2 linked regions of the Oreochromis niloticus genome follow. The protein of the gene in region 2 purifies or fractionates together with the protein of the main gene of each other region. This does not show direct contact. Links are inferred from orthologs where the notes say so. Each region holds a gene or a part of one and is shown on either strand. Other genes may lie near its edges.

The links.
Region 1: the proteins of map3k14a (region 2) and timm13 purify together in Homo sapiens (affinity purification with mass spectrometry; 3 studies listed by BioGRID and IntAct, with this or other methods). This does not show direct contact. The link is inferred for Oreochromis niloticus from reciprocal best matches to the Homo sapiens genes MAP3K14 and TIMM13.

Annotation. Positions count from the first base shown.
Region 1 is NC_031986.2:44,772,338-44,788,702, reverse strand, and holds timm13 (mitochondrial import inner membrane translocase subunit Tim13), read right to left. Parts: upstream 6,708-16,365; 5' UTR 6,603-6,707; coding exon 6,483-6,602; intron 6,134-6,482; coding exon 6,065-6,133; intron 5,559-6,064; coding exon 5,460-5,558; 3' UTR 4,785-5,459; downstream 1-4,784. Other genes in the region: tmprss9 (transmembrane protease serine 9), read left to right, coding at 471-745, 1,031-1,173, 1,799-2,063, 2,149-2,262, 2,347-2,515, 2,595-2,860, 3,217-3,353, 3,928-4,089; enc3 (ectodermal-neural cortex 3), read left to right, coding at 12,264-13,286, 13,380-14,126. UniProt on the Homo sapiens protein: Mitochondrial intermembrane chaperone that participates in the import and insertion of some multi-pass transmembrane proteins into the mitochondrial inner membrane.
Region 2 is NC_031969.2:25,781,891-25,798,478, forward strand, and holds the start of map3k14a (mitogen-activated protein kinase kinase kinase 14), read right to left. Parts: upstream 7,251-16,588; 5' UTR 7,109-7,250; coding exon 7,084-7,108; intron 7,021-7,083; exon of another isoform or gene 6,893-7,020; intron 5,619-6,892; coding exon 5,346-5,618; intron 5,263-5,345; coding exon 5,181-5,262; intron 5,066-5,180; coding exon 4,846-5,065; intron 4,585-4,845; coding exon 4,201-4,584; intron 4,108-4,200; coding exon 3,973-4,107; intron 3,881-3,972; coding exon 3,751-3,880; intron 3,317-3,750; coding exon 3,188-3,316; intron 1,885-3,187; coding exon 1,780-1,884; intron 1,686-1,779; coding exon 1,528-1,685; intron 1,438-1,527; coding exon 1,287-1,437; intron 1,071-1,286; coding exon 756-1,070; intron 664-755; coding exon 554-663; intron 393-553; coding exon 254-392; intron 147-253; coding exon 46-146; intron 1-45.

The sequences.
Region 1 (16,365 bases), on a different chromosome or scaffold from region 2:
GACCTGAGAGACCGACAGGGTGTGTGGGGATGAAGAAGCTCAGAGAGGTAAGGCGGGGCTAGACTGATAAAGATACCCAGCAGTACACAAGTAATTAAAGTTCTCTACCAGAGCACCATTAAATTAATTTACATATTACTTCATCATTAATTATGATGTATATGATTCTGGGTGCTTTAACTCTAGGAATGTTTTGATCCTAAGGTTTTCCCACTATTACTTAAACAGGGCTATGATGCTTCTTTCACCACTTTGCAATCAGTTACATAAAACACATGTTCTCATGTGCTGTCGTGCAATAAATCAGTATTAGGACACATGACTGCACATGAGCCTGAAAATGATTTTCAGTTTCTGTTTTTGATCAAATATTCTGTTCTGGCTTTTGATGCTAGAGAAGTCCTTAAGAAACAACAATCCCATTTCATGAATATACACCATAATTTATGATTGCCCTCTTCTGGTTTTAGGGTCAATAACCCCAAAGAATGGACAGCCCTGGTTGGGGCGACGCTGGTGAGCGGTGAGGAGCCAGAGTCCAGAACGATTAACATCAAGTCCATAACTGTGTCTCCAGACTACAACCCCATGACCACGGACAATGATGTAACTGTGCTGGAGCTGGAGACGCCGCTCACGTTCAGCTCTTCCGTGCAGCCTGTCTGCATTCCCTCCCCATCTCATGTTTTTGCACCTGGTCAGAGCTGCATTGTGTCCGGATGGGGTGCCGTGCACCAGTTTAGCTGTGAGTCCGCAGGAGTGCACACAAAACACAACAGACGAGTCATTTAGAGTCAAAACTTCCTGATATACTTTAAGAAGCAAGAAGGACTGTCAAACAGGTCGATGGGTGATTATTTCACACACCTGAAGTTGCATTTTTGACATTTTTGACATTTTGCATTTTTAGGATTTTCTTGCATTTTTGACAAGAAAATCCTAAAAACTTGTTCTTGAAAGCTGTCGTCTTGTCATTTAAGGTGAAATATGACAAGTGGGAGTAATCAGTGTGTCGTGCGTTCTTCTGCAGTCACGCTGCCTTCCACGCTGCAGAAAGCTGTGGTGAAAGTCATTGACTCCAAGGTGTGCAATAAGTCATCTGTGTACAGAGGAGCGATCACTCCAAACATGATGTGTGCTGGATTCCTGCAGGGCAAGGTGGACTCGTGTCAGGTCAGTGGTGGAAACGGTTCATATGCGGTGGCTGTAACAGGATGAGAAAGGGGGCGTCTCGATACGTACACTGACGATCTGAAGGTCTGAGGATCGCTAAAAATATTCACACCGTTCTCACCTTAAAAACTGAGACCTATAAGCCATCTGTTCATCTCAGCATAACCGTGTGGTGTTAATTATACAGTGAGAACACGAGGCTCAGTCTTAGAGAAATCCACTTCAAAATATCTTATGTTGCATAAATTTTGTAACATGTTTTGGAAAAATTAATTTCTCTGTATGTAAAATGTTCTTTTTTTTAGACAAAAATATGAACTTGTAAGAATGTGTAAAATGCACTTATTACATAATTGTTTCAACATTTAAAGCAATAACTGTGAATTAAGACAGCTGATATCGTTCCCCTTCTTGGTCGTGTTGTCTCCCTAAGAAAGACAAAATGCTCTTAGACATGTCTCGCAGTAGCTCAGTGAGTTTCAAGGTTCAGAGCTGATGCTTAAAATCGTGGTGATTAGCCTAATGATGCTAACATCCTGACCAGCCAGAGCAGATTACCTGATGCTGAATAGTTGAAAGTTACCAAAGATGACACTTTTCAGAGTATCATGTGTGTCCTGTGCAGGGGGACTCTGGAGGACCTCTGGTGTGCGAGGGGGCCCCGGGAAGATTCTTCCTGGCTGGGATAGTGAGCTGGGGTGTGGGCTGCGCTCAGGTCAACAGACCTGGGGTTTATTCCCGTGTTACCAGGCTCCGTAACTGGATTCTAAGCCGGGCCGATCCCACCTCGGTTCATGATTATGTTCCCACTGTGACAGAGTTTAATACCCCACCAGCACCCAGGACCTCAGCTGATAACGTGTCGTCTGCAGCAGCGCTGCCGCTGTCTGGTAATGTCAGCCTGAAAGCTCCTTAATCTTAAGAGCTTTATCAGTTACTGAGATTCATTTATTTAATCTCTCCGTGTTTTTCCAGCCTTGAATTGCAGTGGAAACTTCAAGTGCAGCTCCACTTCCTGCATCAGCAAGGTCAACCCGGAGTGTGACAGAGTCGCAGACTGTCCCAACGGGGCCGATGAAAGAAACTGTGGTAAACTTAAAATGCACGAAGGACGGTGTATGAGGAGGAATTTAAGGGTCATTCTTCTTAACTGCGTTTTTTTTTTTTTTAAAGACTGCGGCGTGCGCCCTGCACTGGGCTCCCATAGGATCGTGGGCGGAGTCACGGCTCGGAGGGGAGAGTGGCCTTGGATCGGGAGTCTTCAGTACCAGAGGCTTCACAGATGCGGTGCCACCCTCATTCACAATAGGTGGTTACTGACTGCAGCGCACTGCTTCAAAAGGTATTTCATACATTTATATCAAAACTCGTTTCACTGAAAGCTCAGGAATGATTCTAATATTAATAAGTTACATCTATAGTGACTCTACTCCCAATAACTGGGCCGTGAGCCTGGGATCTGTGCTGCGATCTGGGGTAGGAGCCCTGGTCGTTCCCATCCATAGGGTAATCATCCACCCGGCCTTTAATGGCACCAACATGGACCATGATGTGGCTTTGCTGGAGCTGGCCGTCCCAGCCCCGATGTCTTACACCATCCAGTCTGTCTGTCTTCCATCACCAGTACACCGCTTCTTAAAGAGCGCAGAGTGCTACATCACAGGGTGGGGATCCATGAGAGAGGGAGGTGAGAGATGAACCCACAAAACTAAACGTCCTGCATTTAGAGGTCACACAGAAAAGAAATGAAATGTCTTTAGTAAGAAATAAAGGCAGGGGAGCACGAGAGGCGAGATCATTTTCACGTTATTGACTTAACTCAGCCTTCAGAGGTAAGAAGAAAAGCAGGAATAGCTGCGTGGGCTGTTCGACCTCTCACGACTGAATGTGATATGAATGCTTAGCCTCTGACTTATCTACCTCTGAAAGTCCTGCTGTTAAAACAGGACAATGTGGATATGGATGTTTGTCAGTCTCCATAGCAACAAAAAAACTGGTACTGTTGCGATCACACCTGTTCTGTGTATAATGCTCTTTCCACAGGTTCATTGACCAACCTGCTACAGAAAGCTGCCGTGAGCATCATTGACCAGACGGACTGTCAGCAATCATACGGTAGCGTTCTGACTTCAAGCATGATGTGTGCGGGATTCATGGCGGGAGGTCGGGACACCTGCTTGGTAAGATGTTCACACTTCCTGTTTTACAATCGTTAAAAAGTTCCTAACCTGGAGACTTGGTTAACATCAGGCTGGTGCACTGCATGTAGTGCTCGGAGGCTGGAGGAAATATGACTGTGCTACTGGTGTCTTTACAGTGAATGGTTAACCAGGCTGGAGCAAAGTCAGCCTCGATCTTCACCCTTTAAAGGGTTCTCCGCTTCGCCTTTGGAAACAGGCTGACGATAAATTATGGTTTAAAAACAAGAATCAGATGTAAGAGAAAAAAGAAAAAGAATAAATCTAGAAAATGTGACCACCTCACAAACATACGCTGATCTGATAGAAAATGTACGCTTTCTTTCACAGCAAAGGCAGGCCACCCCTTTGCACCCTCTCCATAATCTTCTTATGTAACGAAACCCTCATGCATTCCTGTTTCGGTCAGAGCACCTGGCTCAGCTGCAGACTGACTGACATTCTCTTTACTCCCCCGCTCCCATACTCATCTTCAGTCGGCTATTCTGCTCTTATAAATGCATTAAAGTTATTTAAATTCCAAATGAAACTGTTGATCTGTTTTTTGATATTGCAGGGAGACTCTGGAGGGCCGCTGACGTGCCGTCAGCCCTCCGGTCAGTGGTTTATTGCTGGAGTAACCAGCTGGGGACACGGATGTGGCCGAGTCGGTTTCCCGGGAGTTTACACTCGTGTGACGTCTATCAGGAGCTGGATATCCACATACCTACCGTTCTGATGAAGGAAGAACTGTGTCTGCAGAGAACTGAGGTCATGCTAAACAGCCACACACAAATACTCAGTGTACACAGCACTGACCTTTGTGACCCTCCGGTCACAGGTGCTGTCGGTAGTGCTGTGCTTTTACCTGAACTGGGCCCATCCTCCTCCCACCTGAACTGTGGCTTAAACATTCAGCTAGCACGGATCATTTGGAGTATTTATTACATTTATTTATTGTCATGGATGGTAAACACACTGCACATGGCCTTGTGTGGAGAACATTCATTTATGGGTCAATATAATGGTATTGTGATCTTTTACTGTAAGGTGGATTTGTGGGGAAAGTCTACTCTGTACAAAGTCAGTGACGTGGGACTCGGTGTCGTTCTGTTGGTGGATATTCGCTCTTTTGATCAGAAACGAGAGAACACCTGATTGATGAGATTTATTATTTTTTCTTGGGGAAAAAAAATATCACTGATTGCAAAAGATGTTCACAGAGCTTTTCTGGCTCCTCACACAAACTCAGGAGGTTCCCAGATATCTAACAAACCGCATGCACACGAGGCTGAGAAAGGTGCAGTACCCCGTCTAGGGCGAGGGAGACCCCGCTGAAACAAACCCACTACTGTGGAGGGCAGCAGATAGAGTGACAACCAGAAAACATGTCAGACAAAACAGTGTTGTTCTCCAGCTGTACTTTGATATAGGTCTGTTTGGAGGCTTGTAAATGTCAAATTCATGCTGGTGAAAACACCAAATTGCTCCTCGATTCTTCCTGATGATTTTTAAGCACTTTTTTTCTTTCCTTTAAGGGCTCCAGGAAATATTTAGTCTCGAAGCTCAATCACCCGGCAAAGAATGTGAAACAGTGTTTAAAGGAGAGTCTGCAGTGACTGGGAGAAGTTTACTGTTACTGGTATTACAGGCAGAAGCATTCGATGGGCAGGCAGATGAGTCACAGTAAGTAAGGCGGGCCTATTGAGCCAAACTGCATCTGGAGTCCTTTTAGCAGCACAGCAGGCTCAGCCTCCTGTCGCAGCGTCAGCAAACACTTTCAGACACATTCACACTTAAGCAGGTAATTTAGTGTTTCCAATCAACATGGCAAGAACACGCAGAAAATGAATTATTATATTTCTAACGTAAAACACAATCGATTTAACATTGGTAGTGAACTGTTCCTCAGAGCAGAAAAACTGTCCACAGAGACACTGGTATGGCTGCAGTCCACAGGCTCTGCTCTGCCTGTCACAGGTATTGTGAAAGATGTTGCGCCGCTGTCGTGGCAAAACTCGTGCACAGCGTGGGCCCTCCTGCAGAGCACTGCATCGGCCCTCGCTGTGTGCGGCAGCCTGAAGAAGGGAAAGATGAAGAGAGAGGAGTTCACATGCGAGCTCTTTCTCGCTGCAGTCTGGAGTTGTATGTTCGGGACACGGTGTTCCAGGCGTCCATATACCGGTCCATACACATGGCGATACACTTCTGTTAGGGACAAGGCAAAAAAAAAAAAACACGGGTTAAAAGTCCAGAGAAATAATCCACTCGTGGTCTATAAAGAATTTAACCAATTTAAAACTGTGATTAATACCAAAAAAATGTTTCTGATGCACTCCTCCTTGTTTTCAAATATAAATATATATATAACAAGTTTATCCTAGGAGCAGTTCTGCAGGGAGAGACAGACCAACGCAGATCGACTCTAACCTGGAAACGAGACACTGATGAAGACTCGGGAGTCGATACATGTTGGTCCATCTTATCCTACGATAAACCTGTTATATTATTCTACAAGATGATGGAGTACCTCAGCAACACCTTATGTTTCTGGTATTGCGCTTGCATTTGACCCACTCAAAAACACCTGTCAGGTAAGCCTTTAGAGCCCTGCAGCACTTTCGTTATGCCCTCCTGTTTTCTTAAAAACGTGATCACTTCTTTGCTCGGAGCAGCAGTGCATCACTGAAGCAACTCAGTCCGCCAGTGCATACCTGCTCAGAGTTGTCCAGTGTGCTTCCAGGCTTGCCTATGCACTTCTTGAAGCATTTATCGGTCATTCTCTGAAATATGAAAAACAATCTTTTATTAGCATTTACAACTCTGACAGCAGCAGCGCAGAATATTTGCATGACTTTAAAAAAAAAAAAAAGACCCTCCAAAGTTGGTCTGGCTCAAAAGTATCTTTTTATGTCAGCAGCATTTCGGCTCGTGTGTTTATATGAGCCGTGTATTAACATGCTGACAGGATCCATAAACCTTACAGAAGTTATTGCGGGCTAAAAAATAAAATAGTCTTACACACAGGACGAAGAACAAAGCCATTGTACAGCTTTGACCCGTAAAGGTAAAAGCACTCAGCACTTACTCAATGTGTGCTTGCTAGCTTAGCAGCTGTGTTCATTGATTTACCTGCAGCAGCTCCTGAGCGTTAGCCACCGCGATCTGGACCTTGACCTGCTCCATGATGGTACCGGTGTCCATTTTTCCGCCGGACCCTCCTGCTGAGAAGTCTGAACCAAAGCCGTCCATTTCCGCCACAGTCGTGTTCTTCAAACTCACCTTTGCGGAGCTTCTTCCAATACACGTGCAAACAGCCGCTGCTAGCCTTAGCCGGCGTTAGTTTCCGATGCCCTTGACAGAAGCTGTGCCTGTTGCGTCATTTCCGTGTGAGCCACTCGGCGTCATGGGAAATGTAGTTTTTTTTTCCCAACAAAGGTTGTACTGCTACAAGTAGCATTTCTCCTACAGATCAGGTATAGTACTACTATTTACATTTTAACATTTAAAAACGGCATTTTTGTGGGACCATGTTGGCGATACAGGGAAGTACTGTGCAGGTTTGCATTTAGCATGTAAAAGCCAAATAAATGGTATTTAAAAGCAACTATTTAGCTCTCTTGCTAAGTAAATAAAATAAGGATGAAGCGGAGCTGAAGTTTATGCAATACTTTTTACATAGTCCTGTTATTTCAGCTGCTCTCCTGTCTGTTAATCATCATCATCATTATCTATACAATGTTTACTGAGCCAACGTTAGCATTTTTCTAGCCAATTAAGAGACACGTGTAGTGTCACTTTACGCCATATTTTCCCTTGCGTGAAAGTGAAGAAATTATCCAGAGGAAAAAAACGATATAAACCGCCGCTAAATTTTCTGTTGAATAATTTGATTCAAAATTTGCAAAGCGTGTAACGTTTAGGTGACTTCTCCCCTATTGGTTTCAGAGTTAGCGCATTAGAGTGTTGGACATAAAAACCCGACTTTAAAAAGTGCACATCCTGCAGAGCCGGTCAAAGTGCGGGACATTGTCTCAATATGCGGGACAGCGGCGCAAGGGGTAAAACATGCGGTGCAGTCCAACATGAAGGCATCTGGTCACCCCTACGGTTAACAGGTTAACACCTGATCCACCTTAACAAAAGTGCTTTTGTTTGCCACATGGTGGAGCTGTTCTCCGCTAAATACTCCCTCGAGTTGGACTAAGTTCAGTTAGGCTCTTTCACAGTGTGTTATCAACAGTTATCGATACATTTGTGACCGTTCATGAAGCAGATATTCTTTGTGCAGATCAACACTATGTGAGCTCAACTTTCCTGTCACTCCACATAATAAGACAATGACTTTAATCTGTAACGAGGCTAATTTCCTCTACTGAAATTAATTTTTTATTCATTTATTTTCCACCCATCAGTCATAATTTTGATTTCTTTTATTATTAACCAAAAACATAATAATAAAGTATTTAATGCACCCCTTAGATTTAGATTTTGAGCTGCTCCTTTTAAAGGATGACAGTGTGTAACTATTAAATAGTTACACACTGTCATCCTTTAAAAGGAGCAGCCAGTCTTTAAATTGTAGTCTGAGCACAAGTTTTCCTGATCCTCTGTGTGTTACTTTGATCAGGATACACTTCATCTTTTTAATAACTAAACTGCATTTCTCTTCCATCTATGGATGGGCTGTCACTCTAAAAGGAGGGACAATTCTGTCAAATCTACTTGTTTAAAGATAACATCATTTTCAATAAATGTTAGGACTAAACATGTCAGCTGTCCTTGATAAGCAGGTCATGAGCCAAAACATTTACTGCAGACTAAAATAAATGAAAAGCCAGAGTCGACTACAGGAATAGAAAGTCAGAAGAAGCTCTGTGCTCTTTGCGTTGGGGCCCAGGGTTAAGGATGGCCTCTCCAAGGACCCCCAGCTTTATGTTTCAGACTCGATGACCTCACTAAGAAGACCACCTGCCTTGAGCGAACAAATAAGTGGTACAGTGTAGTCAACAATGGAGTGGCGGTTACTGTCATCTAAACAGACGCTCACTGAGTGGTTTATTGCACTGTCGGGGGTGTTGATGAACAATCGTAGGGGGTCTGATTAGTGTTGCGCCTGCCCAACAGTAATTAATGACCAGTCATACAATGCTTGGAACAACACACACACACACACACACACACACACACACACACTCCACAGACCGGTTAGGCTTCAAGCCCTGGGGGTGGAAAGGGCCGGGGGAGGGGAGGAGTGGGTTAAAGTACAGCAAAATGAATTAACCCTAGATTACAATCATGAGTTCATTAATCTAATCTTCTTAAATGCTTAATCTCCTTCAGGCACACTTGTGTGCATGAAAGCATTTGGCTCTGCCAGCAATAATGAGCAGCGGCTACAATGGTTATAAAAATGAGAACTACCAGCCAGTTTATGACGGTCAGACTTTGAGGTATTGCACCAGGATGTTAGGTTACTCCAGGACGTTCCGGTGTATAAGAAACAGACATTTGCTTACTTGATAAATGAGATGCACTCAAATGTAAATCCCCTGTCAAGCAAATAATAGGAGAGGAAATGGTGGATAAAAGGGAAGACGGCTTAAAACACTGCTTCTCTTATCCACACAAACTCTGACAGCTAAGCAGCAGCAGCAGTTTGTAATCTTCAAAAGCAGCTGCTGAGCGACACTAAGAAGGAGTTCAAAACAGGAAGAGAGGCAGAGGAAACCCGAGATGTGTGGCACCCACTCTGGTGGACTTCAGTCTTCTTGGTGCACAAACAAACCAGTGTTGTTTAAATCCATGAAGTCTTTTATTACGCTTTTCCACAGCAGACACTGTGGCCTGTTGAAGCACGACAATCACTAATAACATTATCAGAAATTCAAATCCATTTAAATTCAGCCACTGCAACATTGTGAAACTGACACACCTTAACAGAATAAATTGTTCACATCATCAATCACACATGTAGACATGCCCTGACATGTCCCAGCAAAGGCTGGTACTCACACAGATGCTTAATTGTTACATTTTCTCACTTTAGTCTCTTTTCTAAAACTTTGAGTTGTAAACAAGTACAAGTGGGGTTGACTTAGACGACTCCTAACTGACCTGCTTCTCGTCCTGATAGGCTGCTTGGAACCGAGGCGCATTCTTTATGAATTCTTGCAAACCTCACGAGTGCTTAATTCCTGCAGAAAATGCCAAGAATTCAGCTGAAGAAACAATCTTACAGCCCTCAACCTGCAATCATATGATCATTAAGACTGTTGTTCCAGAAATTTTACTGATTGGCCGTCTTGTATGGTGTGCGAAAATCCTTTAAGAACTTCAGTATGCAGTTTTCTTACTCTAATCATTAATTTTTAAATTCTTTGTCAACCTGTATATAGTTTACATTCCAAAATTAAAGTGTACACATAGTTGATCTGTCCATTTTCTCCCACTTATCCTATTCGGCATCAGGAGGGGGCTGCTGGAGCCCATCCCACTGCATGGAACAGGCTCTATTATCTACATGGTTGCTATTTTAGTGGGTTTTAGTTTTGTGTTAAAAATAATCAAAAGTTTTGGAATTTACTGCCACAGTGTTTATTATGGAAGATTTGTGCAACACTGAGACCTCTGTGTTATAAAAATGGTGCAAAATAATGCAATAGCTGACCGAGTTGGAATAAAAATCTGAAAAAATGTCAGTAATTTAGGCAAAATGTTTGTGTGGTTTCTGGTCTGAATTGTCTGTGGGTGGGGATGGGTGTGCTGGATGGCCCTGTGACTTTCTACAAAACCTTCCAGAGAGCAGATTATTAAATCTTACATGATGTAACCGCCACGTAACTTTTCGTGGTTGGTTATTTACAACTTCACACCGCTGTCTTTCACAATCAATGCGCACCAGTGCAATTCTGGGTTGAGTTTTTCCAGTAACAATAGTTATTACATGAAAGCGTGTTTATACTGTTCATCCTGGTCTCATTTGACTCAAAGCTGGGTAAGCAGACTGGTCTGTGAAATGAAGGTCATTTTAAATGATATTTAGAGCTGTTTTGTGACATCAAAGTGTAAACATCTCAGCAGCAACAACTTTCAGGAAAACCTTTCCTAAACATCAGCCTGTATTACACGTGTATTTTTAACGCTGTGCGTATTTATGATGCCGCCCTGGATAGTTTTTCCTCCCAGTGATTTTTTCTGTCTATCGTTATGTCGTCTTTTTTCACAGAAACCCCCTTTCTATTGTCTTGTTCCGCTAAATCCTGTACAAACACAGGCTACTCGGCGTTCATTGATAGCGCTGAAATGGAGATTTTCTTCTTTACGCGCAAGCCAAGGAAAGGCGAGAACAAAGCAGGCAGGTGAAACATACAGTGACAGGTGTTTCGGGTGATTCATGGCGATGGTTTCTGAATATAATGACGGACACTGATCCAGGTTGGCAGGAGAATAAAGGAAGGCTTTGCGCTGATGTTCGAGCCCATTGGCCGGCGGGAGCAGGAGTGGGAGGAGCCAGAGGAAACACCACCACTGCTGCTTGGACTCTTTCTCTCTGCGCTCAGCTCGTCGCTCTCCGGCACGCTGCTTGGCTTCACCCACAGAAAACAGCGAGCGGCTAACTTCCCAAAAATTCTTTTGTTTCGGGCTCAAACCCAAGATTGTGAAGACAGACAAATGGCTGAACCGTCTCCCGCGAGTTTAGGGTGTGATACAGCTTTAAAGTCGGGAAGCGGACTCGCCTGAAGTGTGCCACAACTTCAAACACAAACCCGACGACGGGAGGAAGTTGTAGCCGAGATAAAGAAAGGAGTCGGGATCGCTCCCTTTCCCATCGAGGTAAGATCCAGTCCTACCACGGCGATCATGCGTGTTTGTTATGACTGAGCTGTAACAGTGTTTCCTCGGCTGATCGTAGCAGCCTGGATGCTTTGCAGCTGCTAACTCGGGAGGAAAGTTGAGCGCATGCTGGAAGTGCTGACCAGAGTTTCACATTTACTGCACAAAACGAATTGGATTTCACGCTGTTTCCCCCCCACCCACGGAAGTCCACCGTCCCTCTTTCAGCTGGGTTGAATAGCCGATTTAAATTTATCTGCCGTGAAACAATGGGCGCTTTAAAGCGGAAGATATTTATTTGGTCGTTTTCAAGTTATATGTGAGCTCTTTGTTAGCCCACCGCGCCGTGCCAGGACAAGTGGGTAACTGAAATACTTCCTAGAATTTTTAAACAAACCATATAACGTCACTCCCACTCAAGCTTCCTATATAAACGATCAGAAAATGCTCCCCCCTGTTTCTCTCTTGTTGCACTGCGGTTACATAATTTTATCCTAGAGGAGCTGCTCTGAGGTGTCACATCTTATGTGGGCTTGAAAGCTCCTGTATGTGAGCCAGCTGAGAAACAGAACAAGCTGGCAGGAATTTATTGGCTTTGCCGTGTTTGGAGGTGACTCACAGCCCTGAAATGGAAGAGGGTGGAAAGATGTGATACACCCAGGTGTTGCTTCTAGCCTAACCTTAATGGTTGAAGGTTATTCTAAGAGCCGGTTGTTCTCACAGGTCTGACAGTGATGCATGCTTTATAGATTTTTGCACTGTGTAAATCACTGGTGCACTAAAACACACCAGGTTTACGTGGGAGTGCGCCTTATCTGATCTTCTTTCATCTCTCCACAGTCTGAAGTCCGTTTCCGCTGCAGCCCGACATACTGATAAGAGTATTTCATGTAGAGCCCATTCATCGGGTGTTGGCAGAGTTTTTGTTTAATCATCAAATGGGAGGAGTGTTCACATCAAAAGATGTTGCATGACATTTATATCTGGCCAACTGTAATCAAAATAGAAATGTTAGAATTAGCTTTAAGAGTAACTTATCCATGGTTGTTTGTCTCTGTGTTCCAGGTTCAAGTCAAGATGTCTGTCAGCAACCACGAAAACAGAAAGTCTCGCTCTAGTTCTGGCTCAATGAATATCCAACTCTTCCACAAGACGTCCCACGCGGACAGCCTGTTGACTCAGCTCAACCTGCTACGCAAACGCAGAGTCTTCACAGATGTCGTGCTAAAGGCCGGCAACCGTTCCTTCCCCTGCCACCGGGCCGTCTTGGCCTCCTGCAGCCGGTACTTCGAGGCCATGTTTAGCGGCGGGCTCAGAGAGAGTCACGACGGTGATGTCAACTTCCACGACTCTCTCCATCCGGAAGTGCTGGAGCTCCTGCTTGACTACGCTTACTCAGCCCGGGTCATCATCAATGAGGAAAATGCAGAGTCACTGCTGGAAGCTGGAGACATGCTTCAGTTTCATGACATCAGGGACGCGGCAGCAGAGTTTCTGGAAAAGAACCTTCACCAGTCCAACTGTCTCGGGATGATGCTGCTGTCCGACGCCCACCAGTGTCAGAGACTGTATGAGCTGTCGTGGAGGATGTGCCTGGCGAACTTTGCTACTCTCTTTAGGACAGAAGACTTCCTAAGCCTCCCCAAGGACAAAGTTCAGGAGCTCATCCTTAGTGAGGAACTGGAGGTGGAGGACGAGAGCCTGGTGTACGAGGCCGTTATCGACTGGGTCAAGGCGGACATGGAGAGGAGGCACAGCGAGCTGCCCGAGCTGCTGCGCTGCGTCCGCTTGGCGCTGTTGCCTGAATCGTACCTGCTGAAGAACGTTGCTTCAGAGGAGCTGGTGATGTGCCACAAGGTGTGCCGGGAAATCGTCGAAGACGCCGTGCGGTGTAAGATGCGGATCCTCCAGAACGATGGGATCGTAACCGGATTCTGTGCGCGTCCAAGAAAAGTCAGCCAGGCCCTGCTGCTGCTCGGAGGTCAGACTTTCATGTGTGATAAAGTCTACATGATCGATAACAAGACCAAGGAGATCACCCCCAAAACAGACATCCCCAGTCCCAGGAAAGAGTGCAGCGCCTGCGCCATTGGTTGCAAGGTATTTATGCAATGAACCGACTTAAATGTGTCATTTTTCTTTTTGACCCCTCGACGATGTAAACACGCTTTGGTTTCAATCTCTGTCCCTCAGGTCTATGTTACTGGAGGACGTGGGTCTGAGAATGGAGCGTCCAAAGATGTCTGGGTCTACGACACATTACACGACGAGTGGTCTAAAGCGGCGCCGATGCTGGTAGCCAGGTTCGGACACGGTTCCGCGGAGCTCGACCACATGCTGTACGTAGTGGGAGGACACACTTCCCTCGCCGGATCCTTCCCCGCCTCTCCGTCTGTCTCTCTCAAGCAGGTGGAACAGTACGACCCTCAGACCAATAAATGGACCCTCGTGGCCCCGCTCAGAGAAGGAGTGAGCAACGCTGCCGTTGTTGGCGCCAAAAACAAACTCTTCGCTTTTGGGGGCACCAGCGTAAACAGAGACAAATACCCCAAGGTGCAGTGCTTCGACCCCTGCCAGAACCGGTGGTCGGTGCCAGCCGCTTGTCCACAGCTGTGGCGATACACGGCAGCGGCCGTGGTTGGCAACCACGTCGTCGTGATCGGCGGTGACACAGAATTCTCTGCCAGCTCGGCCTATCGGTTCAACAGCGAGACGTACCAGTGGTCAAAGTTTGGCGACGTGACAGCCAAGCGGATCAGCTGTCATGCAGTGGCGTCGGGAAACAGGCTTTATGTGGTCGGAGGGTACTTTGGGGCTCAGAGGTGCAAGACGCTAGACTGTTACGATCCAGCGTCAGACTCCTGGGACAGCGTGACCAGCGTGCCCTACTCGCTCATTCCCACTGCCTTCGTCAGCACATGGAAGTACCTCTCAGCATAGAGATGCACTGACTCTCGGAGGTTTTGCGGTGAGTAATTGTAGCTTCTTAAAGTGACGCAAACAAACAAGATGTCAATTACTGTATGTGTGCTATTCATAGTTCCCCCTTAAATCTTCAGATAATGTATGGGAGCTGGCTAGCGTAAAGGACACTGTTACAGTGTTACACTGTTACAGTGTTACACTGTTACAGTCCAGGTGAATGCCTCTTTAAATCGTACAAGTTCAGTTTAAAGACTCTTCTGTGTTTTCAGGGTTGCTAATGGTTACAGTGGTTACACATTATCTAGCTGCTGTGCCGGCTGGGTGTCGGATAAACATGGAGGAGTCTTGGTTTAGAGAGCACGAGGAATGTCAGCGGTGCTGATAATTACAGAGCGAGAGCTACACAACAAGACACTGACACTGACGGGAGCGAGGTGGAGAGGCAGGGATCAGGTCTGTGCTTGTAGTGAACAGCAAAAGGGTGCAGGGAGCTCTGCAGGCCCGGTGCTGCTAACGGAGTGCCTGTAACGAGTCGGTTTGAAAAGTCGATGCGTCACGTTCGCTGTGCTTTAGATAAGATCAGAGACATTCTGTTTGTTAGCTCGTGTGAAGCAACACTTAAGATTTCGACATTTTACAGGACGGGGAAACAAACAAGTCCTCGACTTGATCCCAGGTTTTGAAGTATTTTAAAAAAGGAAAAAGGAAAGATGAATTCCATACGTGCTGATGAGTTTTTTCCACCGTAACAAACAGTCAAACCGGTCATCTTATCAGGAATTCAGGAACAGAGAAAGTCTAAAGGGTATAAAAATACGACTGACTACAACAACTCAAGAATAATGGAGCCAACTGGCCTGAAGGGAAGGCAGGGACAGTTTTCAGTTTCATGCGAGTCTATCGATTGATGCTTTTCTCCTGAGGCGTTTTCAGCTTTTACATGGTGAAGCGCAGTCAGCAGCTTTATTTATTTATTTTTCACACGTTCCCAGTGGTTTGAAATTTCACGAGGCCCGTGCTGTGACCTTATTTCAGTTCTGGTGCGATCAGTGGAAAACAGCTGAATCCTGCAGCAGTTATTGAATTTGAAATTAAAGGGTTTTATCTTTATTACAGTAATAAAACTGTAAAGAAAAAAACAAGGAGGGGTTTTACGACACTGCAGCCAGCAGTCGTGTAGTTTAGCTTAGCACAAAGAGTAGAAAGAGCTAGCCTGGCTCTATCTGCTCTGAAGCTAACTAAGTGTTTGCATGTGACTCTGTAAAAGTAACTAAAGTTGGAAAAGGTCCAACTAACTTTTAGTCTTCATGCTAACTTAATTGTTTTCTACAGAGACTGTAAACAAAAAATGGACACAGCTAATATGACACCACCTGTTTCTTTGTAAATGTCAATTACAAAGTTTCAGTTTCAGTCTTCTGGCAGTTGCCATCCCGTGTTATGGAAAAAAATAGCTGTTGTGATGGAAATTGAAATTGTCTGTAGAGAGCAAATGCTTTCACTCCTGGCTGTTTTAATATGGGAGTCTGAAGCCTAAGCAGTCACACGAGGATCTGTGTTTTTGTTGCCTGCACTGAGGACATTAAAACAAAAAAACAAGCAGACTTCAGAGAAGCAGGAATGACTGCTTGGCCTTCAGGTCTCCAGTTGTCCGTATCCTCAAAGTATAATCCAGGCATAAGTGGACTGACTCGCTTTTGGGGCCAGACTCAAGTGGCCTCTTGAGAAACTACAGGTTTTGTTGCTTTGCGTTGGTTTCACTTTCCAGCCGGGGGGTTACTGCTTGGTCTCCTGGCTCCTGCTTCATATGCTGTGCGCCTCACCATGAGACTGAGAGATCGTGATTAAGAACCAAGTTGACTGAAACTAGACGGACTCGATCAGATAAACATAAATACAGCTGTTCTCATATGTACTTGACGAATGTTTGGCTAGCCAATAGCCAGAGTTGATACAGCTCAAGTTAAAATTCTCATAGAGCCGTCTCACTTATATACGTATGCGCATATTTTGTTATTTTCTGTTTGACAGACCCAGGTGCATCCTGGGTAAATCCTCCACAGTGCAAAAACAACTGTAAAGGCACCTCCTCTTTTTATTCTGCCGAGGAGTTTGAAAGTAAAGCAGAAGCAGAAGTGGAGGCTTATGTGTGACTTGTGTCGACAGTAAACAGCTGGAGATGATGGAGCTGGGGGCTTAGCATTATGAGGCTGCTGGTATGGGCCACTGTATCCATGGTAGCCAAGGTTTCTGG
Region 2 (16,588 bases):
TGCTTTTTGCATATAATAGCGTGGGATGCTGTGAGTACACTTCACCTGATCACTGATTCCAGTGGCAATATGGCCAACCTTCACCCGACGCATCTCTCTGATCCGGATTTTCTTATCACTAAAGTCTCTGATGCAGACATCCACCCCTGGACCAATAATAAAGCAGAGTAAGCCACATGACGAAAGAGAAAAAATATATATATACAATTTGGTATCATATTAAACAGTAGAGAAGGGAAGCTTTTCATCTCACCTTCAAAACAGCAAGGTGGTGGCTGCTGTGTGTGACCCAGGAAATCCAAGCTGAACACCTGCCCATCAGGCTGACTATTGTAGGAGAAGACACCGGAGCTGAGGTCGTCTCCTGGGCTCAGAGACCAGCGGCCAGAGTCCTGGAAAAAGGGGAACACAAACCAAACAGTAGGTCTATTAATTCTGCTGTTAACCAAAACAATAGGCCACCAGAGAAGTTCTTGTAATTGGTAACCTATTCGCCTAACAACATGTTTTTCCTGATATTTTGGCTTTATTTCTGCTCTGCATTTTGATTTACCTTTTTGTCCCACGGTTCCCAGTTCGAGTAAGGGTCACTGCTGAGGCAAGACAACAACTGCTCCTGCATCTCAGCAGAATGAAGCTGGGAGAGGCTGCTCAGATAGAAATCTGCAAACAAACAAAAAAACAAAAGCATACAGAGTTCAAGCATCTGCTATACTTAACACCTGAAATTAAATACAGCTTAAAGAAAACCTCACCTCCAACCAGCTTCCGCAGCTCAAGTTCAGGTACCGTGGTGATTTTGTTGTCCCTCCTGTGGCTCAGCTCAGAGATCAGCATTTGTGGTTCATGAGGCGAGCCTCGTTTCGACTTCTCAGCGTCTGCCTCTTCTTCATCAGTCAGTTTCTTTGTCCTCCTCCCTGTTGTGATCAGCTTTTCCACGGACTCTTGGTGCATCTCTTCATCCTCAAAGTCAGCACTGCTGGTGATGAATTGCATGGAGTCACCTGGTTTGTTGGTGTTAAGCAAGGGCTCTAAGTAGGGACCCTTCACTGGGCTGGTGAGTCCTCCAACTGCAATCAAATCAATAAAAATTAAATGAACTTATGTACCTACGATAAACTGACTTCAAAATGTATAGCAGGTATTACTAAACTCAGTGTGGTCAACTGATGGTCACTAAACCAAGCATTCCATACCATATAAATGCAAAATAACAAACTCTCAATTGTCTGTAAACTCACTGCTGAAACCGCCATCAACCCAGATGCAGTGCAGATTTACTTTACCTTCTCTCAGAGCTCTGTCAGTTTGTTCTTTGAGGTCAGATGCTGATGATCTCTTCAGTGGATCCTTCTGGAGTCCTGCTTTTATAACTTCAGCAGTGAGAGAGCCACAGTCAGGTGGGATCTCTCTCAGAGGAGGGGGCTCGTTAGCAATCTGTAACCAATCAACCAAGGGAATTCAGTCAAGGCTTGATACGAGTACTCTAAAGAACAAACATCTGTCAATAAAGTATTCGAAGAATACCTTCAAATAAAGGCGACAATTATAGTATCTTGTCCAAGGCTGACAACCATTGAGCATGTGCAGTAACATACAGCAGCTGCTCCACACATCTGCTTTAGCTCCGCGGGGTTCTCCTTTTACTATTTCAGGGGCCATGTGAGTCTCTGTGCCCTTCAGATCTGTAATCAAATAGATTGAGAAAATTGTGAATTCTGACATGTAAGTGGAGAAATTGCACATCTTACCAAAATTACTCAGTGGAAAAGGATTTACCTTTGGACCTACTGAGGCTCTGACCCTGATTGTCGAGCCTTTCGGCATGTCCAAAGTCACATAGGAAGGTGTCTCTACCATCATCCGACAGCAACACGTTGTCGGCTGTGAGAAACAAGCAGAGTCAGTAATCCATTGCATTAATCTGTGTGCTGCTGTGTGATGTCAGTGGTGCTTGGTTGATTTCCATGACTTGTGCTGTGTAGTTTTTAGATGACATAATTAGAAACAGGGCAGCTGCTTAGACACAAAACAGTCTAAGACAAAGGAGCCAAATGAATGGAAAATATGAAGTCACACAGGGACAGCTGCTGTGCTCAACTCTTTAATGTGGAATGGATGTGGAAACTAGTCACAAACCGTACGCAGATAAAGAAGATCTGTGGTATTATTGTCTAGCTTTTCCTGAGAAATTACAGACAGCAGATGGCGCTTGAGATACACCACAAAACATGTCTTGTCAGCTCTTAAGCTATTCTCTGTCTTTTTTGCTCTTCCTCAATCTCAGTTTCTGTTCTGTTTTTGTGTTTCCTTTGTTCTTCTATATAACCCTTTCCACTTTATTTTCATCTTCTGTATTCTTTCTGTCCATTGTACTTTTTCTCCTCTTCTTCTCTTTCAAACTACTTCCTGCTCTTTGTCCCATCCCCCCCTCACTCCGTTTCGTTCTCCCTTTCTCTCTCGCTCTCCTGACTTTGTGCACATGCGCCGTGTCTACAGAACAGCAGTGAGTCACACTGTGGGAAATTCCCAGCCCGTCTTTTTCTTTGTGGTAATCTGGTTTCACAACCCAGGTGCTTGAAGATCAAATCTAGACTGTATCTATGACACTTGTGTTCCAAACAACAGCTGCACATAGACACAAAATCCTCTGATGAGAACTAATTACAAATCTGACTTTCTCTCTGTCTTTTTTTCAACTTTCCACTACCACAACAAGTAAAAGTCAAGCTGACACATTTCTTAGTTTTACTGTTATTACTATTGTTCTCTACCTCTTAATATTCACAATGAAAGTGTTGTGAGGCAGTGCCAATATCGATATATTGTTACTTTTTTGGATTTACCATTTTCATTCCATAATTTATCAGTCGACAACATCACCAATATTTAGGAAGTCACAGGAACAGTCCCAGTCATTATTAATTTGTAAATTATACAGAGATAAAAAGTGGATAAAAGTTAACAACTTCACTTTGTGGATTTATTTTCTGTTGTAAATTGATTAAATTACACTAAAATTCTTACAAAAGCTCACTCTTAAGATACGTGTCATGAATAACCGCATGTGTTGATGAATGACTTGAATGGCTGTTCAGTCATAATGTGGGCACACCAAACATACTAAATATGAGGCTAACATTCGAGTCATCAAAGTTTTCAAAGGTATGGCATTTGTATAATATACCTTTAATATCGAGATGCACCACCCTTTTCTTCACTAAGTACTCCAACGCTGTTAAAACTTGAGAGTGGTAGTGGAGACTTAAATCCTCTGGCAGTCGACCACGTTCCACTATCAGCTGGCCCAAAGAGCCTGGAATAACACAAAACGTTAGAGCGGGACAAAGACTGTTGTCTTAGTAATATTTACCAACAGAGAGCATCTGATTAATCTTTTCCTCTGGGTTATGGCTTGTAAAGAAGCCAGCATTTAATGACAATGGAAAAATGTGTCAGGTATATCAATGTTTATCAGGAAGGCTCGCGTCACACGTTTGGTGCAGTTTGGACAAACACTCTTTGAGTAAGGTCAACAGTCATTTCAAGCATCCCAGAAACACCCACTTCCACATCTCAACACTAATCACATCCGTATTTTTCTACACTTGAACTCAGTCGACTCAAGTTCCATGTACATGTTTGTGCACTTAATTGATCACATCTGTTTCTTGAGTTTAAATGAGAACAGGAGTAGTTAGTATCAACAACATACGCTGTGTGTGAAGGGAAGATAGTGGGATTGTTTACCAGCTTTGTGTTCCATCAGAAGGACGACATTAGGCCCCTCTCTAACCACTCCAAAGAGCTTCACCACACGAGGAGATCTGAGGGCACTCCACGCACCCACCTCCTCACTGTTGAACCTCTTCAGGGCGATCTTTGAGAAAAAGATGGAACATAAAATACTAAGATTATGTACATACTTTTAAACAAGACCGTTTTTATACAAAACAGTATGCTGTAAATTACCTTTTTGGCAGCAAATTTGAACCCACTGTTCACATCTTCAGCACTGTGTACTTCACCATAGGAGCCTTCCTTGATGAAGTGCTGGAAGACATACTCTCTCCCTTCTTTGTACTCTGAGTCCACAGGCTGAATTTTCTGTCAGGAAGAGAGAAGCAGGTTAGTTTGGTTCAGCCAATTTTCAAACCAAAACATACTGAAGCAAGCAGACTGAAGCAAAGCAGAACTTACTTCATGATAAAAAATTAGTCCCTCATTGCTAACAGAGTCAGCTTCCGAGAACTCATCTTCGTCTTCCCTAGTCTCCCTCTCCACTTCTTTGAAAAATGGCCCTGCATAGCATGGATCCCCCTGACTGACACAGCCCCTGAGCCCAGCAAGGGCCAGTGAGCAGTCTCCCACACTGCTAAGAGAGTCCGAGCTGCTGTTGTGCTCATATGACCGAACACTGGAGAGGTTACCCAAAACTGGCCAGTTCAAAGGGGAACAGCTTGAGCCTTTGTTGTAAACTTGTTGGCTGTAAAAAGAAGCCCTTCGGTCGTCTTCCTCTGAGCTTTCAAAGCTGCTACAGCAAGAGGTACTGAGATCGCTTCTCTCTTCAACAGAAGAGTCCTCCTACAAGAAGAAGAAGAAGAAAAAAAGTTTTTAGACAAGATGGTGTTTACATCCTCCAAATTTGCTCTAGGCTTAAAAATTCAAGGCCAAAAGAGGCGGGGCTGTTGGAATTCAATGTTTCACTTCCACAATTTAGGAAGGGTAATGTTTACATGGGGACTTCTAGAGATTAGGACCCTATTGTTGAAGATGATTTAAATTCTTTTAACAGCACAGTATACTAAATATTCAGACTCAGAGAGATGTGAAGAGTAACCTCACCAGGATCGGGATCAAAGAACTTCCACTTTCTTGTTCAGGCACTCCAGAAGGCATTCGACGTCTCTGTCGCTGCTTGTCCTTCTTCTTCTGCTGCTTCTTCCTCTTCCCCTTACGTTTCTGTCTCCTATGGGTACTCTTTCTTGGGGAGAGTATTGATGTGCTTGCTTCCTGGATGGTGGCCATTGTTTGGCACGCCACATTGTTTTGGTCAGATGAAAGACTTCAAAAGAAATTCGAAGAAAGCAAAAGGAATTTAAGGCATGTTTACACAATTCAGCACAGACCCTTGAACAGAAATTTAATTTATAATGCGGAGAATGTCCCCAAGATCTTACCTGGTGGTCAAGCATTTAGGGAAGGCACGGAAGGATCGTTCATAACAGGAAGGGCTAAACTCCTGGGAGTCCTGGGTTTCACCTAAAAGAGCACAGTGTTAATGTAAAATTGGCTCACAGGAAAGTTCATTGATGTGATACACTATAAAAATAAGATATATTTACATTCTGCCTGAGCAACAATGGTTGAGGTCTTGAACTGCATTTCTTCCACTTGTTCTGCAGTTCCATGTGTCAGGAGTTTAGTGAGTTTATCAGCAGACCACTTTTGCGTAAATCCCATTTTGCCATCCTTCCCCTCCTCTTGTGCCTCCTCAGTCTCCTGCTCTGCATTGGAGCATGATGGATATGTCCCCTTCAGGTCAGCTTTTGGTGGTCCAGTGAAAGGCGCTGTTGAGTTGAAGAGCCTCTGTCTCACCGCCATGTTATCTTCTAAATCTGCAAGAGACACAAGCAGCTGATAAATAACGATTTTCCTTATCAACTGTATCCTGCCTTTATGTTTTGTCTTTAATCTTAAATAAGAGTTAATCAATTTGGTTTTAGTTATAGACGCCTGGGTTGTTTGTGTGGCTATAACCAGAGAGTTAAAAGTAACTTTTTAGTATTATTATTTAAATATTAATTAGTGAATTTGTCTTTGGTCGAGGGCAACATATTTGGCTCCTTTATAAACTGAGCTTTCGATTTTGATGAACATGTTACTTCAGAGCTCACAGTGCGTCATATTTATTCAGTTAGTCAGATGCTTGCTGCGACTCATCAAGAGTGACCTTTAGAAATGTTGTGAAGTTTGTATAAGCATAAACCATTTCTCCAAAATGTAACAAAGGACTTTTATCTGCTAATGTGAGCGTGGGAGTGAGGATACCTAAAAAGGGGAACAAATGGATACTGAAAACTAAACACATCTCAGGTTAAAGGTTGCATTGCATTTTGCTGTTTGTTTTTGTTCATTTTTTCTTAATTTTTCGTTCTTAGTTTGCATCTATGGCGCACTTTGCAAATACTTTCCACAGTGCCATTTGCCTGCTGTAATCGAGCACAACAGAAAAGCTCATAAATCTGACTGAAGATGAAAGGTTTATGACAGAAATATACACCCATGCATAAACGCAAAAATAATTTGATCTGCTTCATTATGGCTCGTTTGAAGTTTAACATATTTTACTGCGCCACACATGTTTAGGAGCGCAGATGAACTGAAACTGTGAAATTTGAGGTGGGCAGATGAGACAGGAAATTAAACCCCGGCCTTGTTTTCACAGTTGCAAACTCTGTCGCTCAGTGCATGCACTCTGTTTCAGTCAGAGGAAGTAACCTAGGCAATGCCTGGGCTGCACAGCCTGGACTAATTTGAAATAAAGATTTGCATGGCTGCCTGTTCACACCTTAAAAGTTATTACCAGCACAACAGGTAAGACTGTAAAACCAACACAGGAAAACTACATGCAGTTTAAAAGGCACAAACTGAGAACTACATTTAGAGCACTACAGTTGCAATTAGTTGCGTCAGTTTGTCCATTACACTAGTAGCTTCTCACATAAAGATTAAGCCTAAATTCTTGACTAAAACAATCACATGCACGCTGCATGTTTTTGCTGCTGACAACACCAATAAAGTACAGATACAAGTAAGAATACAGCAAAAAATAAGATCAAAACATAATCAAAATTACGTTAAAGCTGTTTGAGTTTATTAATGATACTACCTTGTACGCAGACTTCATGCACCGCAAGATTATCTAGAGCGAAGCAACTCAACTGTCACTTCCGTCTTAAGACGCTGCACCACCACACCCCAATGAATTTACGTGGAAAGGAAATAGAGAAAACCCCACTGCAACAAACAGGCACAAAAACAGACTCTGTATGTGTGAGCCGACGTAGCGGGCAGACATACCAATAGATGCCAGTCTGAACTGCATTCTCAAGTATTTGTTCTGAATAACCTGTCATCGACACGAACTAGGTGCTCCGTTTGCGTGCCTTCATGTTCGACTTTTCAGTAACGACTCGGCTCAGTTGCTGCTGCTCTGCTTTCTGCTCTCCTGATGCTGGCTTTCAGCCAACTGGGGGGAGGAGCTGGCTGACTATGACTTATGGGAAATGCATCTACACTTCCCCATATTCCCCCCTCCTTCTGCTCCCTCTAACAGGGCTGGTTTACTTACTCTGCCCTCTTGAGTACTACCAATTAAAGGATAACAGGTTTGCTTATGGGTATGATGACAAAAAAAAAGTGAACTATGAACTGTGATGAGAGTAGTGGTAATATCTAAACCCTTTCAATCTTTGCAGACTATCAAGATACAAGGTTTTAGTGAGGAAGAAGCAAAGGATATGATTAGTACAGCCGAGCACTGAATTCAAATTTGTTTAAAAGCGAAAAATCAGTTAAAAAAAGTTTCTTTACTGGGTGAAAAACAATTTCAATTCTGTGTGCACATTAAACCAGGTAGTCTGATAATCACCCGGAATGGATAGTCAACTTTCTGTACACATTCACACCACTAAATGTGAAGGGATTTGTGGCCTTTCATTTGCTCTGATATTCTAATAAGTGCGTGCCCTGTAGCAAGCCAACATTCAAGAGCACGTCACATGTCATGTCACACGCCCACATTCTCCACTATATGTCCTGTTGTTAAAACAACAAAGAGTTTCTTTCTTTATGAAAATGTGGCAGTGTGAAAACTCACATTATGAGCATCTTCTTGCGAAAAATTATTTCCGAAAACAGTGTTTAGACTGAGGCAAGCGTATGAGCTGTCAATAATCTGATGGCTCTATCTGAAATAATCTCACTTGCTTTTCTCTTGAGCAGAAAAACAACTTAGTCATACAAAAACCACTACAGGAAACTCGGAACACCACTTGACAGGTTCTGGTACATGCCATAATCGAAAAGCTCAATGTAAGTTGCTCACTCCACCCCTACTGATAAGGAAACTGTTTGTCATGACAACAATATCTCTGCTAAACCGACATAAGCTTGAGGACACAGGTACAGACATTGTAGACAGTCAAAGCATTTTGAATTTTGTTTTTGGTACTCTATTAGTCACCAACTTCACATATTATGACTCATAAAAATGGCAACAATTAGTACCAATTATCAGTTCATCTGCCAATCATTTTCTCATTTACTCATTCTGTCTAGAGCTGAAATATTTAGTCAGTTTAGCCACAACATTATGTGCAACAGATTAACTGTGTGACAAAAAAACAGTCAAAAGTTACTAGTTCAAGGTTCAAGATTTTAAGGTTTCTTTTAATATACCACAGTGACCAGTGTTTTTGTTTTGTTTTGTTTTTTTTGTTTTTTTTGGTGTTTTTTTTTGGGGGGGGGGTTTGCTTTGCAATTTGCTGGTTTTGATTTTTAAATTTCATGTTTTTAATTGCCTCTTCATATTATTAAAAGCTTGACATAAATTCTGCTTTGTTTTGGGTTTTTGTCCAAAAATTCATTTACATTCATTTGTGGTCAAATTGTTTTAAGCTGTGAATGAATCTGGAAACAGACAGACCAAAAGACAGCTCCCTGGTACTACTGTAAAACAGATAAGAATAGGGCTATACGTCTCAGCTTTGGGCACACCACCAATTCTGACCATATTCCAAACATCATTTCTAGAAACCCTATACCTGAAATGAATCTCCAATGATCTTCACTATTGCCATATATTGCTCATGCAGTCCTGAGAATATTTCACTTTTTGCAAAGGAAGTCTGTGCAACTCTAAGGTCATTTTTTAACTTCTATTCCAACTTTCTGCACTGACAAGCATGGCATTTTACTAACTGGAGAAATGGCAATGACTGATTATCAAATTCTGCAAATTAATTTTGCAGGTCAAGTAATCAAAACTAAAGTCTTTTGATTTACATGCAAACTGAACCTACACTTCCCTGTCAGTGTCATCAGAAACCTAAACAATTATGTTTTAGAGGAGTTTTGCACCCTAAATGTCTACACATATCTAATAAACATGTAACTAATAGTGCACACTATAAACTTTAATCCATAATGATCTTTGCTGTGGACATCTTTAACTAAACTGTAACAAAACATACAGTTGGTGACTGTACAGCTTCTGCTGCTCTGTTTCTCTCACAGAGATTAATGAAATTCCAAAGCCTTTAGTAACGACAGCTAAAAGGGACTCAGAATACACAGGCAAGAGTTCCTTAAGAGAACCGGTGGCTGCTTCTCAGGAAAGCATTCCAGTCCTCAACTACACATCCACAAGGTTGCAAAAAACATCTGCAGGCACACATTTAAATGCATCTCCAAGTACTCAGTCATACCCCTTGTCTAATGTCTAACAACTTCCCTTTTTCTAGTTACTTCCTCAATATTAACTTCAATGAAGAAACAGTCAGTTACAGTAAGAATGCATAGTCCTCTCTTTGCTGCACATTATTTCCATTAAACTGAGATGTTCTATAAACTCCTGGCATTTTAAAAGAATAATAACCCAGGAAAATTCTGAGCTAAGCCATTGTTATTAATGTTATCCTAGTTTTTCTGTAAACATTACTGGGTTCTTTGACAAATTAAAATTAATTCGGAAAACAGTTTTCTCATGAATCAATATTAGAAATGCGTATTTGACACCTCAAGAAAAACATTCCCCTCCATTTCCCAATGCTATTCAACATAAGTTTACTAAACATGGCCAAAGTCAACAACTCTAAAAGCATGTATATTATAATAATGTTCTACTAAGCTGCAATCTTTCTATACATTTTCTATATAGTGAGCTCATCTTAATACAGTCATATTTGCACTTTCCTGCTATCTTGCAAAGAAAATGAGAACAGGATATTTGCACAGGAGGAACAAAAGGTTTTTCGTTTAAGGGTGGACCTGGACTAGTGCTGATTCGCTTGTAAATGCAGGCCAGGAGTTTGACTCTGGGCCAAGAAAGATCTAGCAAGCATTGTTGCGGTATGGAGGCCCAGCATAACTTGGACCTGAAAAATAGGACCTGCCAAGAGTGACTAATGTAAACAATTACATCTGGTAGATGTAATTGTTTAGCTCTATCAAGATTACATGGGGGCTCTAATGTTTAAATGAAACAGATAAGAGCATAAAAAGATATATGACTGCATATATTGCGACAACATATAATAACATACATAACGGCTATTCTTATGAGGACTCCTATAACAAATATAGCAAGTTTTTTTTCTATCACTAATATGCTCTTAAAAAAATTTTTTTACCAGGTAAGAACATCAACCTATTCATGTTTAGAGTTAGTACAGCCTTTGTGACAAAAAATAAAAAATAAAATGAGGGTACCACTGAGAAGTATGAGCAGTACGACGGTAATTATATTCTGTACAGTAAAATCTACAGTAAGCCTCTATAACAATTTACCTTTGATAACACCTTTGATGTTTAACTATTTAGCGATTCATTTAAAAATGAACATAATTTGACTAAACAGTAATTTCATGTGTATACACGCGCTGTTATTGTGTGCACGCGCACCAACTTCCTTCTAGCCACATTCACCGCCATTTCACATAAAACTTGGGCCCAAAATGTTTGAACTATTCGTTAAACAGTCAAACATGTAAATCAAGAAATCGAGTTCTCGACAAACAGCGGGAAACACTGAAGTCAGAAAGCTCTTAACTTCGTTAAACCGTTTATGATAAATACTATATATTCTTCACTTACCGTATTTCCCGTAACTAGGCGTCGGCCGATGGCGATCTTGACATCATGTAGCTTCTTTCCTGTTTCCGCTTGAATTTCGAAGTAGTGTTTGGGTTCCCTTAATTTTTACAATAACAACATTTAGCGCCAGAATGCAAAGACATATTGCGCTATTATTAATCACTGACTGTAACAGTATGTTTAAATGTTGCTCGGACTGAGCACAATGTTTGCGTGTGGCTGTAAGTTATAGTTGTGCTTTTAATTTGAAGACAAAATGCTCTCTCTTCATGTATGCGTCTGTTTTTAATTTAAAGACAAGAGGATAAGCGGTCATGCAGCGTGAAAGGGGAGCTGTTTAATAAACTGCACATAAAAAGCCTTTGTTTGTCTGTTTGTTTTATGTTTTAATAACCTAATACTATATATCTATAGGCCTTGCTTGCTTTCTGCTGAGATATAGATATTTGTATTTTAATATATAAGGCGTTTATGATGTATTTTACCAAGATGAGTATCTACAGTAGATCTTATTGAAATTCTCCTCGCTGGAGATTTTAACTCGTACTGACTATCTTCTGTCTCAGGCAGTTTTACATTTACAAATATTAATGTCACGCAACTAATTTGCAGTCCAACTTGTCCAAATCTTAAATGCTCAGAAAAATCATCACCACATTTATTTATTTATTACATACTCTCCGCATAAATATTCCCATATTAGTGTTTTGCAAATGATGTCAGTAATCACTGTGTTGTAGATGCAGTCAGGTAATCGATACTCCTGAAATCAAGACAACAAATTGTTTTTTAAACGAGATTTTTTAGCAACCTTTCTTCCGCGATTCATAGGACTGCAACTTGAATAAAACCTGATTAGTGATATTAATTTGCCATGGAAATACATTTTCATTAAAATATTAAATAACCATGCCCCTATCCGCAAATTTAGAGTAAAATGCTGTCCAGTCACCTCAAAGAAAGTGATGCTGGCTGGGCTAAGGCCAGAAAAACTAAATCTGGCTGATTTTTAACTCAAAAATAATTCAACCTCAAAACACTAAACAGTTTAATGATTCTAAAAGATTCTGGATAACAATACGATCTTCTTACGGCGATATAACACCCTTTTTGTTGTTGATGACATCTGTACTTTAACTGAAAAATGTGACATTCCTAACGGCTTTAATAAATATTTGGTTTCTCCAGGGTCTTTATTTGAATCTTTACATAAAGATTTAAAACAGCTTAATGAACAGGAGGTTATCTCTGCAACTGCTCGAAATGAATCTTGTATTCAACTCTTCAGCTTTTCTTTTCTGAATGTCATGGAGATCCACAAGGCCTTAAAGCTGTTGGATACAATGAATTCAAGACCACATCAATTTAAACCTTATTTTCCTAAGCTGGATGAACCACAAACTTTTCATTTTTAACCTTATGCTTTGGAACAGTGGTGATATGGAAATATAGAAATATACCCTTTGTTGATGATAGGGAGGTGATGAGGAGGTGGTCCTTCATATGTTAAAAACTACAGATCACACAGTTGGGCATGTAATGTTAATAAACAGAGCGAACAATATTGGTTTATCAGTAAAAGCTGTTAGCTAGTTTTCAAATGACTTGTCAGTTAAACACAGTGTGTCCTCTTTCCTGAGTCTTCTTCTTTGTTTCTCCCAGTATCCAAAGGAGCTCCTCAGAGATCTATATTGGGACCACTCTTTATCTCTCTATATGTAAATAACCTTTGTGATATTTTATCCAAATACTGCATTCCATTTATCTGTAGGAGTGCAAATCTTTAAATTTCTGCTGTCTGCCTTTGAGGTTTGTGTTAAATCCAAGTTCATGTTAATCTCAAATGGCAAAAGAAGTTGTTGTCTACACTTCCTAAGAGCAAAAGGATTCAAGTAACTGAAATTAAACTGGTTACATGTTATAAGTATCTAGGTATCATTGCATATCATAATTTGTCAGGTTAAAACACACTGAAGTGCTCCTGTCCAAACTGTTCTCTGTATGGTGCTGCCAAGTAGCCATTATCCATAGACTTTCCCATTGGTTAGTTTTCATCTGAAAATATAAATGGAAATCTCTGCTTGGGCTGATTCGTCCTACCATGGGGGAAATTAAGTCCAATTTAAAGGAGCAGAAGAATAGCTCTTTTGGTCAGAGGGACTGTTTTTATTATTACTCTTGTAATGATCTGTTCTTGCATATTATCCACAAGTTTGTCTTCACTGATTATCATTCGTGTTTGTTTCTGTAATTGTTATATTTTTATGTGTTGTATTTGCTGTACCATCTGCTGCCCTCTTGGCCAGGTCTATCTTGAAAAAGACTGACTCAGTGACTCACTCACTAAATCTCTCTGAAACTTTTACCTGGATAAATAAATGATAATAATGATGAGTAATCTAATACAGTATATCATCAGCTCATACGTCATGCTGTAAGAAAAATATCTGTATTTATATAAATCTACCACAAGATGGAGCTATAACCTACTTAAGTCTTTTACAGGTTAATACACGGGGCCATAAGGCATGCATTGTCCTCTGAGCCTCACTGATGTGAAGTTGTGTGTTTAAATTGGTATCTTTCACGCTCATTATTTTTATAAACATTTCAGTCACTTGTTGAACAGGATAATGCACTATAGATGCAGCAGAACTCACTTGTCCTAAAGAACATTTCAGGAAATCTTTCCTGCAGTTCTACATTCCTACATTCTTCTACTACTCTATAATAGATGAATACACTTGTCAGGTAATAGGTTTACACAAATACTTACAGATTTCTGTATTATACCTTACTGCTCCTTTCTTTGAGTTATAGTGTAGACATTATATATTAATACTATTTCCACTACTCTTTTGCGCAATGTCAGTCTCTTTTTTCTCATGAATATCTAACTTCTTAAAATGTTTGTCTATCTGCTTCTGCATCTCTAAATGACATTTTTATTAGCCACCACCAATGAATAAGGATTATGTCATTTAAATTTGCTGGCCAAAATATTGAGTTTTCAATCTAATGTTAGTTTCATTTTTAAAGACAGGCAATTTAATTTAAATGGGTAATAAAAAACCTTGTAAGATTAAAATCATTTGCTTAAAATCTCTAAAGGTTGATTCTGTTCATCTGGATGTAGCATTTTCAGTGGGAGAAACGTTTCGTCACTCATCCAAGTGACTTCTTCAGTCTCAGCTGACTGCAGGTTTCCCCAATCTTATAAACAGTACCTTTGCATAATGACTGAAGCCAGCCCACTGAAGGAACAATGGACTGGGAGGTCAGTTCCTTAATCATAATTATGCAAATTCTCATGACCATTGATCAACAACCACTAATCAAAGCCCACTGATCAATGGCCATGAGTACCATTCACAGAGAGTTGGGGAATGGCTGCAATCACAGCATTGTAAGATAGTGACAGATGTACCCTTAGGCCCCCTCCTCGATTCAGAGATGGTCTTTCCCTTTTCACGTAAATGGCCTCCTCGACTCAGCGCTCAAACCAGCGTTCCTCCCTGTCCAGGATGTGTACATCCTCGTCATTGAAAGAGTGTCCACTGGCCTGTAGGTGTAAATAGACTGCAGAGTCCTGGCCTGACGAGGTAGCTCTTCTGTGTTGTGCCATCCGCTTCGCCAGAGGTTGTTTGGTTTCCCCGATATATAAATCCTGGCAATCCTCCTGGCACTTAACAGCGTACACTATGTTACTCTGTGTCGGGGGACCCGATCCTTGGGGTGGACCAATTTCTGGCGCAGCATGTTTTGGGGTTTGAAAGCCACAGAGACCCGGTGTTTAGAAAAAATGCGCCTCAGCTGTTCCGATACTCCTGACACATACGGGATCACTGAGGGTTTTCCCTTAGGCAGCAGTTGTCCTTCTCTCCTGGATCGGCTGGAGCTTTTTTTTGGCGCCTTCCCAGCTTTGAAAAAGGTCCAGCTGGGATAACCACATTTACTCAGGGCCTTCTTGATGTGATGTTCTTCTGCTTCCCTGGCTGCTGTGTCTGTAGGGATGGTGTTCGCTCTGTGTTGTAGCGTCCTGATGACACCCAGTTTATGCTCCAGTGGATGATGAGAGTCAAACCTTAAATACTGATCTGTATGCGTAGGTTTCCGGTACACATCAGCTTTTAGATGTCCCCCATTACTGATGGAAATCTCACAGTCTAAGAAGGCTAACCTGTCACTTTTCATATCCTCCCTGGTGAATTTGATGCGTTGGTCCACTGAGTTAATGTGATCCGTGAATTGTGGTACGTCCTGAGATTTGATTTTCACCCAGGTGTCATCCACATACCTGAACCAATGACTTGTGGTGTTCCAGGGTAGGATAACAAAGCCCTCTTTTCCACTTCTTCCATGTACAAATTGGCCACGATGGGCGAAACTGGGGAGCCCATGGCACACCCATGTTTCTGCCTGTAGAACTGACCCTTGTATTTGAAATAGGTGGAATGAAGACACAGTTCCAAAAGCAAACACACTTGGTCGATGCTGAGAGTGGTCCTGTTGCTGAGGTTGGGGTCATCCTGTAATCTCTTACGAACTACCTCCAGTGCTTCCATGACTGGGATGCAAGTGAAGAGAGATGTAACACCCACTGACACGGCTCTTCTTAGAGTCTCCCAGTGAAATCTCAATAATGTATTGATAATGTTAAGTAATGTAGGAGAATGTTTCATTTTGCTAATATTGGACTTGACCTCTGCCTTAGATATCTGCCTTGAGCATCACATTATGCTTCATAGGCTGAGATACTGGATACTGGAGATACTGGTCTGTTTTGGAGTGGTACTATCTGTCTAAATGATCTGTTTTTCTGGCTGCCTTCTAAGTAAGTGCCACAAGGTTCTGTTCTGGGGGCTTTACTGTCATAGCTGCTTGCTCTTCATTGCATCTCAAGCACTTTTGATGTCATTTCTTATTGCTATTATGCAAATGACATTCAGTCACATATTTGTACTTAAGGTAATAGAACCCTAGGTTCTATTTGTTAAATTTTCTACCAGGAACCCTCTGTTAGCTTTTGCTTCTGCCTTCACTGTGGATGTTCATTTTAAATCTCTGGTTCACTCTTGTTTTTTGTCACTTACGAAATACAGTCAAATTGAGTTCCATTGTGTCACAATTTGACTCGGAAATTGTTATTCATGCCTTTATTTCATCATGTTTAGATTACTGTAATTCATTGTTTACTTGTATCAACAAAGCCTCATTGGAACATCAGCAGGTTGTTCAGAAGGCCAGTGCGAGGTTTTTGATTAAGTCTTCAAAGTGCTCACATTGTTACTCATTCAGCTGCACTGGCTACCCATTAACATTAGAGTCCACATTAAGATTCAGGTTTTGACTTTTAGAGGTCTGCATGAAAATGCAGCAGTGTACATCAGTGAACTTTTACATCCATATATCCCTAAAATAGGCCTTGAGGAAGCTCAGAGTTTATGGGCCTGCTGGTTGTGCATCAGACAAGGCTGAGAACTAAAGGGAACAGAACTCTCTCCCACTGAGCTTGAGCACTGTGATTTTGAAAAAGTCAGCTTTTTAAACTTGCATTGATGTTGTGCTATTTTTGTTCTGAAGAACTTTGTGATGTTTAACTTGAAATGTGCTTTACAAATAAAATTTTGTGGCTTCATCTGAAAAACGTTCTGAGTCGTCCTTAGGTGTGGATGCCATTGTGTTTTATCTGGAAATGTTCTGGCTTGTT